Drosophila melanogaster: one gene and its partner. The protein of the gene in region 1 purifies or fractionates together with the protein of each later gene. This does not show direct contact. Each region holds a gene or a part of one and is shown on either strand. Other genes may lie near its edges. The genes, in order: CG13323 and CG10916.

Evidence for each region.
Region 2: the proteins of CG13323 (region 1) and CG10916 purify together in Drosophila melanogaster (affinity purification with mass spectrometry, with the first as the bait; one large-scale study listed by BioGRID). This does not show direct contact.

The regions. Positions count from the first base shown.
Region 1 is NT_033778.4:13,044,109-13,049,161, forward strand, and holds CG13323 (uncharacterized protein), read right to left. Parts: upstream 3,149-5,053; 5' UTR 3,109-3,148; coding exon 2,770-3,108; 3' UTR 587-2,769; downstream 1-586.
Region 2 is NT_033778.4:18,171,557-18,176,364, forward strand, and holds CG10916 (uncharacterized protein), read left to right. Parts: upstream 1-2,112; 5' UTR 2,113-2,253; coding exon 2,254-3,045; 3' UTR 3,046-4,169; downstream 4,170-4,808. Other genes in the region: CG5726 (uncharacterized protein), read right to left, coding at 4,524-4,808.

The DNA of each region.
Region 1 (5,053 bases):
CTCCTGCGGCCGATGACTGTGTGCGGGATGCACATTAGCTGCAGCCTTTTGGCCTTGTCCGCTGCACATTTGAAATGCTTTTTCCACCTGCCAGCTAAAATAATCACAGCTCAGATTGGTTTGCCAAATTGCTATTTATTAAAAATCAATGCTGCTGGCCACCGCCGGCCAACGTAATCGCAATGGACGGCGACAACGCCAGCAACAGCAAATCAGCAATTTCAGCAGCCTTAACAGCCTGTCCGACACCCTTTTATGTCGTGTCCCTAGGACACCACCTGCCACAAACCCCGGCCACACTGCAAGAAAACATGTGTCATCTTATGAAAATAATATTTTTTTAGCTTACCTATACATACACGAAAACATATCCCTCGGGCGACAGGTATTTCATTTTAACAAAATTGCACTTTTCATATTTCTCTTTGAAGATTTAAAAGTATTTATTTAATATATATAAAAAAGTTTATAAGTTTAAAGTCAATTTAATAATCAACTTATATGCCTGCAAGGTATAAATTCACTAAATTCAATATTAAAATAGTGCTCCCTTTTATATTTCACTGCCATTAAGATAGTTAAACCAGTTCAAGTTACTATCTTTAACCTGCAAAAGAGGTTGTAATGATAGGACCCCATTTGGACTTCATTTTTATCTGTGCACCCCGGCAGTGTCCTGTCCACGTGGCAGGGTGAGCCGCAACACTGGACAACACAATCGCCGGCTGGTGTGAGACAGTTGCTGCTAATTGAAATCCCATTTGAGGCGGGTATTTTCGATGTTCCACAGCCACAGCGGCCAGTGTAAGCAGATGCCGACGCTTGTCCTTGCAGCGCCAGACATATGCCACACCCCCAAAAGCGAGTGGGGGCGTGGGGGAAGACCGAAGGCGGTGGGGTTCCGGCAGGAGCTGTTCCAAGCAGCTGCCATTGCTGTCGCTGCTGGTTTTCGGTCGACATTTCCGGGCAGTCCGAAGTAATTGCTCGGCAAGCTGTTGCCGCTGATGGCTAGATGGGAAAGGGGGAAGAGGGGTAAGTGGAGCTGGCAGGACACAAGGTCCTGGCGTCTGGATGAGTGCCGAAGTGGGGGAGTGTGTGTGTGTGTGTGTGTGTGTGGCAGGCTGGTTACCCGGGGACACCGATGTAGTGGTCAGCTTAGCCGGCAAGCGGCTTACGTTGGGCATTTCGTTGTGACGGCCACGCGGCGTATGAGGAATGTCAAGTGAATGCGCCCGGAAGCGAAATTCGGCAGTCGCATTTGGCAGTTCTTAAAGTTAGCACACAGCACACAGAGCAGCAGGACAAATCGAATTCGGATGCACCATCTCCTGCTGCTGCTTTTCTCTCTCTGCTGCTGCAGTTACGTGACTTTTTGGGGGGCAATTTTTTATCGAACGACTTTCCCTTTGGCGGGGGGGGGGGGGGGATGAATCACAACCGCCAGCTGTATCCGTAGCCGTAGTCGAAGCCGTGGCCGTATCCGTAAACATATCCGGATCCGGGGCTTTGCATCGCAGCCGAACGGCCGCGCTTTGCATATTAACTAAGTGAAACATTTTCGTTGACAACTTTTCAAACATTTGTGCACCCTGTGCAAATGTTTACCGCCACCTCGAATGGCGGATGGGAGGTAGCTATCCGAATCTGTAGCCTCAAGACGTTTAAAATTGAAATTTAAATTCGATACATAAACTACGGAAATAGGAAAGCGGAGAAAAGAGAAAAGGGACTGCGGCACATCCTTTTGACCGTGCAGCTTAACATATCGACCCCCCTTCGGTTTTTTTTTTGGGGCTGCTTTTGGCAATTCGAAATACAAATTTTACACCATCCCCGGGAATCAAATGAGCCAAGGCCAATAAGTCTGTCGCCCCTTCGCTGGGCTCCAGTTTCCCTCTTTTTCTTTGGCATCTTTTTTTTTTTTCTTTTTGTGCTGGCTAAGCCCTCTAGCCCTTTTAACAGTCTGTCTGGGCCTCACAGGATTTGTGGCCAGTAGTCCTATACCCAGCCTTAATTTCGATTTACTCTTGCCAACACACACACCTACACACACTCACTGATGTTTATTAAATATTGAATGTTTTCCTTTGCTAGATGACTATGCCTCTGGCGGGCAAAAAGGAAAAGTTTCCTCGGGCGCTCCACTTTCATCCTTTGTGCCGGGCAGAATCCAAGGGAAAATTCTAAACTTGCACGGAGTTTTTGGGGATTGGCCCAAGGCTAATATGCGATTATGCAAAGTCCGGCAGATATAGATACATCAATATGCTATTCCCATTGACAGCACACACTGATAAAGATAACCACCGATTTATGTTTGAATATGATAGACTCTTGGCGATTTTCACTTTGTGCACTGAACTGTTAAGGGCAAACTTTTTTGTTATTAAATATTTACTATCATGTCTACTTTATCTTGATAATTGCCTTTTTTTTACATATCAATTCCGCCTTTTATATTTACTTATAAGCCATTTGTTAATAAAAAAGTGAACTTGCTTTTTTAACTGATTAGATACACGTGGGTAAGCCGGAAATTATTTTGTTTACTTCAGAAACACAGTCTTATTGGTATTAAAAGCTGTTGGTTTAAGGTTTTTGCAATTAATGAAAAAAGCGCCTTGTTTAATACTGCCATATATATGTATGTATTTTACTGTATTCTTTTATTTGTTAAGATTGAGGATTTAGCTTTGAGTTGCGTAAGAAACATGTTTCAGTTGATATCCCAGCGACTTTCAGTCGGTTATAACAGATTCGTTTGATCACTTAACGACCCCAGATCTCGACGGTGGAGTTGATTCCGCGGTTCACCTGACCACGAAGATTCACGGTGGCGAAGCGATAGCCCGGACCGCCGGAATAGAGGCTAGGAGATGCGCCGGAGTTGTTCTTAAAGTTGTCGTAGACGATCACGGCGGAGATGTTGTAGAATCCGGCGGGATAGTTCACGTTCACGTTCCAGTAGTTGTTCTTGATCGGATTGCGGACTTCCGTGGTGCGGGACAGCAGGTAGTCGTTGTTATTGCGACGCCCCCAGGTGGCGCCGTAGGCGTGGCAGCCAAGGATCACGGCCAGGACAACTGAGAGGATGAGCAGAAGACGCATGTTGAATGTTTCGTTTCGACGTTCTTGTATCGTTTGATAGTAACTGCTGCGAATGGCCAAGCTTTTATATCGCTTCGCATGACTAAGGCAATGTTTACAAAAGCGCTTCGCTTTTAATTAACTTCTGTTACAGGGCGGACTTATCGCAGCCCATGAGGTGGGGCATGGGGGCGAGAGTCTGGCAAAAAAGGCCCAATAGCGCGAAACGAAAGTAAGGTATACGAAACCCCCCGGCAATCAAGTGGCCGCGATAAGATTACCTGACTCACGCCAGCGGTTGTGCAAAACAAGGTGGCTTCTAAAGTTTTTGGCCAGCCTTCTAGGAAAAGATTTGGCGGGCTTATCACCGAACGCTAAGCCCTCCATACAGGAATTGAAGATCGGAAAGAAATCTCAGCTGCAGATTTCAACTTATAGATACTGGGTCTTGATTGGTAGCACTCGGACTTCTAAAGTTACCGAGGGCCATCTAATCAAAGTTTTCCATAGAAAAAACAATCGAATGCGATACATTCAGTTATTAGTCAGAAATTGATTTTCCTCGAAACTCTCATCAAGTGGCTTGCACTGACAAATTTTCACTCATTAGTTTGGCAAACAAAATCGAAATGCTTTGCTCTATAAATAATCCATAATCTAATGTAAGCCAATATATGCAAATTGGCAACGAACCAAACTTTCTGAAGCTGTCAATAGTTTTGTATATTGATTAATCAACTAGAGAGGAATGTGAATGCATAAGCAATTAAATTATGGCTAAGTAATTAAATTGTGAGTTATACGAGCAACATAAGGCTTGGCTGATGGAGAATTCATTGAAATTATAACATGGCCAAGACAAGTGTCTGTCGATTTAAGCCATGATTACGTCGGACATTCCTCACGACGCATCGCCTTTTGCCCACAAAAGTGTCGAATAGCGAACTTTTAATCATCCCTAATGTAATCCAACTTAAGCTGCCTGCTGTCATTAGCATTGTTTGAACTGGAACTCGCAGCTACTTTAATTAAGTCCAGAGATTATTCCATTCATGCCGGTGGCATTGCGTTCGTGGAGTTGGTTAATCTGCTACGGAATGCATTCGTGGAATCACAGCTCCACCGCGATCCTTGGGGGGTGGCATCCTTATCGCCTGACACACAAATCGAGCTGCTGGTCTCATCCTGGCTGCATATTTATTGCGAATTACCACGGCTAGCAGTCACTTGGTTTGGAATAAAATCTCATTACTTGCAGCAGCCGTGGCTGATGAGGGTGGACGTATTTGTCACTTATGAAAGGGATAATTCGCCACGCTCCCAGGATGTTTGCTACCCCCCACCCCTCCACCCACCACCCCCTAAAAAAAAGAACAAAAAACCGAAAAGGAACCCCACAATGACAACTGAAAGATACAAAGCAGCCAGAAATGCCTGAGGGAATGTCGGCGAAGCATTTTGTACCCACTGCCATTGCCATTATCCGATTGCAGTCTGTGCTGGCATTTTGTGCAGCAACTTGTTAATCACATTTTATTGACACATCGCCGACTCTCGGGGGAATCGATTTCCATTTTTAAATTGGCCAAATTAAGGGCTGCTTTTGGCCTTGCTGGGCCCCCCCATTTCAGTTTGGCTGCTACATGCGCTCGCTTGATAAGCAATTTGTTGTGGACTCACCCGAACATGAAAGACATACACTACAAGAAAAAGTTGTATCTAACAGAATTAGGTTTCGAATTAAAGGTGCAAATGTTTGTAAATTTTCTATATACGTGCAATTCTAGCAAGTCTGGTAAGCAGTAACATAACGATAAGAACCTAACCAGAAAAAAAAACAACAAGCGCAGGGTTTTATCTAAAAAGATCTTTTGATCTTTGTTTATACTTATTTTGCTTATACTTTGATACCCTGTGTTAACCATTCCTTTAATTAAATAAAATAATATTGCTTAGAACTCTTTCT
Region 2 (4,808 bases), 5.1 Mb from region 1:
AGCTCCGTTCTCCGAAGAGAGAGAGTGAACGAAGAGAGCGCAGGAAGAGAGTTCCAGGAAATCGCAAGAATTCCCTAATTCTTTTTCTTTAGAATATGCACGAATATACATACATATATAATGATTTTATTTGTTTAAACGTTCGTAACTTAATTATTCAAAACATATTTAAGCAATACTGCAAATGAATACATATAGTGAAATAAATGAGGGGAATCCTCGAAACGCATGATGCAATATTTGCGTCAATTATGTGCATATCTCAAAAGAGGGGCTTGGAAGAAGACACAAGAGAGCCAAAGATAGAGAGTTTAATTAGCCGTTCTAATAATTTCGTTTAATAGTGAAATGGCCATTGTACATACATACATATATCTATGGCAAAGCACAATAAACAATGATAATGACAAGGCTATTCAACCGTTTATTTTTTGTTAGAAACAGCTGATTGCCGTTTTGTATTTGTTTATATAATAAAGCTTTGTTGACGTACGCAAAGCACAGCTGAAAAGCAACAAATGGCATAATCTCGTACGCATTTTTTGGCGTTTATTTATAGGCGGCAAACAAAGAGCGCAGTTAATGCGTCAGTGTGTGTGCCAAACATAGATATGTACTATGTACTTGCGTACATATGTATGTATTGTTTGTATTTTGGCAAACCAAAACAAACAGAAAATTTGCATATTATGCGCACATTAACTTGTTTCCATTGGAGTGGCGGCAAGTTTGGGAAACATAATTTGAGCCATTGAGAAACCGCACTAGCTGTAAATCAGCTGAATATCCATTTGTAGTTGTATGTTGAACTTAGCAATTAAAAGTGAAAGGATACGGGTGAACGCAGAAAAAGAAACGGGTATCTGGTCCTTGGCACTTACAGTTCATGCAGCCTTTTGTGCTCCTCTTCTCCGTCTGGTGTTTGTCCCTATATCTTTTCGGATTTATTGCGAATTGTACATAATTTGTTTAGCTTTTCCCGTAAAATTGTTTTCCGTGTCCCGAAGCCACGTACCGCGCGTCGTTGCCAGATCGGTTGAGTATCGTAAGTACCTGGTGCCACTTATCGATAGCTAATTTTAAATATTTATAAATTCTTGTGTTAAAAATGACCTGAACAGTATTTGAAACTATTATTGAGCACAGGTGAACCTTTTATTAGTTTTTAGCTATAAAATCCAAATTTATTATATATATACATTACATATTTGACTTCCTGATTATGAAATACATTTGTTTAACAACTGGCATACACTTTAATTAGTCTATTTAGTAAAAATCTATAACAAAATAAAACAAAATTGTTCTGAAACCTTGAGACCTAAATATTAGCAAAAAGTTTGAAATTAAATGTTATAAGCGTTTGAGATCCATGTAAACTTACGAAATATAAAAATAACAGTATTTCTGGCACTACTTAAAGTCCATCTCTATAAAGCTCGTATCCGTTAATTTTAAAATAAAACAAGTGCGCCATACGTATTTAAAGCTCAGTGTGTAAAGGGATTCAGATATGGATGGTAACAGCAAAGAAATGGAAAATTGAGAAGCACCCACAAATGACCCATCGCCATACCGGATTCGGAAACTAATTCCCGAACAGACAATGGGCCACAGGTGCATTCACGACGAACTTGTTCGCAGAAGTACCCGGTTAAAAGCCTGTCCTCTGACTCACAAGAATAACAGGGATTTTCCCGAGCACCCTCTGCTCATGAATCTGGACAGAGACAGCTTATCGGATGCCCACCTGCCGCCCGAGGAAGCAGTGCAGTGCGGCACTAACGAGGACGGACATCATGCGTCTGGGCAAGGTACATTCTTCCCATAAGGTCATGTACATCCCGCAGCACGGTCAAGAGGTTAACGTTGGCACCAACGAAGTACTGGTGCAGGTTTGAAACGCTACTTTAATACAAAGTAAAGATCCAGTAGATAACCACAAAATGATAGCACAGTACATTATCTTAGCCAAAATAGAGTTATGATTAAGACGCTAATATAAATGTTACTTAATATAAATGTTACTTACTTAATGCTATAAGATATTTAAAGGATTATTTTCAATCAAGATTCAAACTTATTAAAATAACAGTATTTCTAGTATATTTGGTATTCTCCAGAGGTCATCTCTAATAAAGCAGGAAAGTTGATACGAATCGTTTCGTTTTCCGCTCATTGTTGTGAAATAAATTTGGAACAGAAGAATAGAGCCACACATATTCAAAGCTCAGTATCCATAGGGACGTAGTTATGGAGAGTAATAGTAGTGAAATGGAAGGTAACGGCGGAAAAATCGCAGAAACTGCACCCACAAATGACTCATCACCTTCACTGAACATTTTATGTGCAATTTGCAACGAGTTTTTCCGGGCCAACGACATAATTTTCTCAACTTCACGGTGCGGTCATGTATTCCACAAGGACTGCCTCACCCGATGGCTGAATAGGTCCAGGACCTGCCCCCAATGCAGAGACCCATGCGACCGACGACGCGTGCACCGATTGTACCTAAACTTCGCCGAGGCCCCGGAGTTCGATGACACCGAATTGCCCAAGGTGGCCATGGATTGGGTGCCCATTGATCTGGACAGAGACAGCTTACCGGATGCCCACCTGCCGCCCGAGGGAGCTGTGCAGTGTGGCACCAACGAAGACGGACTGCCCACGTATGTGGCCAGAGGATATTACCACGACGATCTCCTGCCTGCTCCTTATGTACCGGAAAAGAAGGCTGCCTTCGGTTCGCACAGCTGTAGCGCCCGAACTCTGACCGATGATGTCGAGATCCTGGTGCTCAACGACTGTGACTACAAGTGGGTGCCCGGACAGCATGGAACATATCCGCGGGATGCTCTGAACACGGGCTACTCCGAGCTGGGTGAGGTCACCTACACGGGTCGTGGTCTTTACCAGGGTATCCTGCGTCTGGGCAAGGTGCATCCTTCCCACAAGGTCATGTACATCCCGCATCATGGTCAAGAGGTGAGCGTAAACACCTACGAAGTCCTGGTGGTCACCCCACGTGACCAGGCAGATCGATGATGCTGCTGATATCTTAAATCTCTTATGCCTTATTGTATGAATCTGTGTTATAAATACATATGTACGTCTTATTCTATTTTTGAAAAAAATCGGATCTATTATTTCTGTACTTGTTTTAAATTCGCTTATCAGTAAGCCAAGATTTGTCCCCAATTTCTTTAATCAAGCGAAAAATTGATAACTTTGTTTTGACTGCCAGCAAATTATGTACAAATAAAAGTCCCCATATACATATGTATAAGTTAGTCTGCTATTTGCTGCCCTCAAGTATGCAATTCTTTATAATAGTTTGGAAAGTGAAGATGTTTGTGACTAGACACGGGTTTAAAAATATTTTGACCTTGACTTGATCAATGCCTACGATAAACGGAAATCTTGGTTTTTTGTATATTGTATCTAAAACGGACCAACTGTCTTCAAAATGGCAAGATTAATAAAAACTGCGGTCTTAAAGCTTTCTTACTATCGCTTTTGTAAAGTATGCACAACCGAGAGTTGCCCACAGAAGTTCTGGAAAGTGGAAACGCAGAAGACGAGGGGAGTCACCCACAAGGATTCGGAAAATACATTCATCCAATCAGGTGATGTAAATACGGAGGTAAGACTATGACATTCTGCTGGTGATTTCAAAAGTTTTCAAAAGAATTTGTTTTAATGTTTGATTAATGATAATGCAATTTTTTTGTTTTATTAAAAATGTGTTAGACGCTATTTATATGCTGATTAGTGTTTTGAACCTACGCATGTTGCGAACATATTGATTATACCTAAACAAAGAGGTTTAAGTATCTATATAAGACTACTCGTATAACTCTACAATTCATGTTTTTCTCTGCACTCCGGCTTGGCTTTGTTGTTCCAACAGAGGGCCTCACAAAATTTGCTTTAAAAATACGTAAGCTTGTATAATTCGTTTAATAAATCGGCTGAACCTGCACTATAACATGACATTTAATATATAAGTATATATTTAGCTAAAAATACAAATTTTTATATGTTCAACATGCTTTTAACATTTCACCAACAGGCGTTTTACTTTTCAATAGAAATAGGATTATTTTTGTTTTTTCATTGACTTTGTACTTAGTTTCTAAGCAATTTGTATATATAAATATAAAAATGAGTGTGTGTGACTGTATTTTGTGTGGGAGTGTTTATGTGGCGTGGTTGTGTGGGACTACACAAGACATTCATATATATATAATTGGTATTTACAAATTTAGTGGCTCCAATGTGTAATGCATGCATGCTTAATATTCTTTAAGCCTGGATTTGAGATGGATTTGTTTTGTGATTGGTCTAAATTGTTTTGTATTGGTTTAACATTTGAGCTCAGTTGAAGACAAAATAATGTGAAAACAGTCTACGTGGATATACACATCCATTAGGAAACATATACGAAGGCGAAACAAATAACTTCTAAACGGACTTCAAAAACAATTTTCGTACATGTGGATGACTTCGTAAAGTGTATAAACTCATTTCTGGGCCGACAAATAGTTCATGTACTGAGTGGTCTGCTGGGCATTCCGCACCAGCTCGCTTTCCTCCTTTCCGGATGGTGGTTGGCCCTTATCCGCCTGCCCCTGCCAGTTCTCCTCGTTCTGCGGCTGATGGATGTCTGGCTGGGAGCGGCGTGTGAAATGGCGGTGCCGCTGGTGCTGATGCTGATGTGGATTTTGTGGCGATGTCTGTTGGCGACGATCAAACGAGCTGGACGCTTCGCTGGCCAAACTGCTTTGGCTGCTGTAACGCGGGAATCG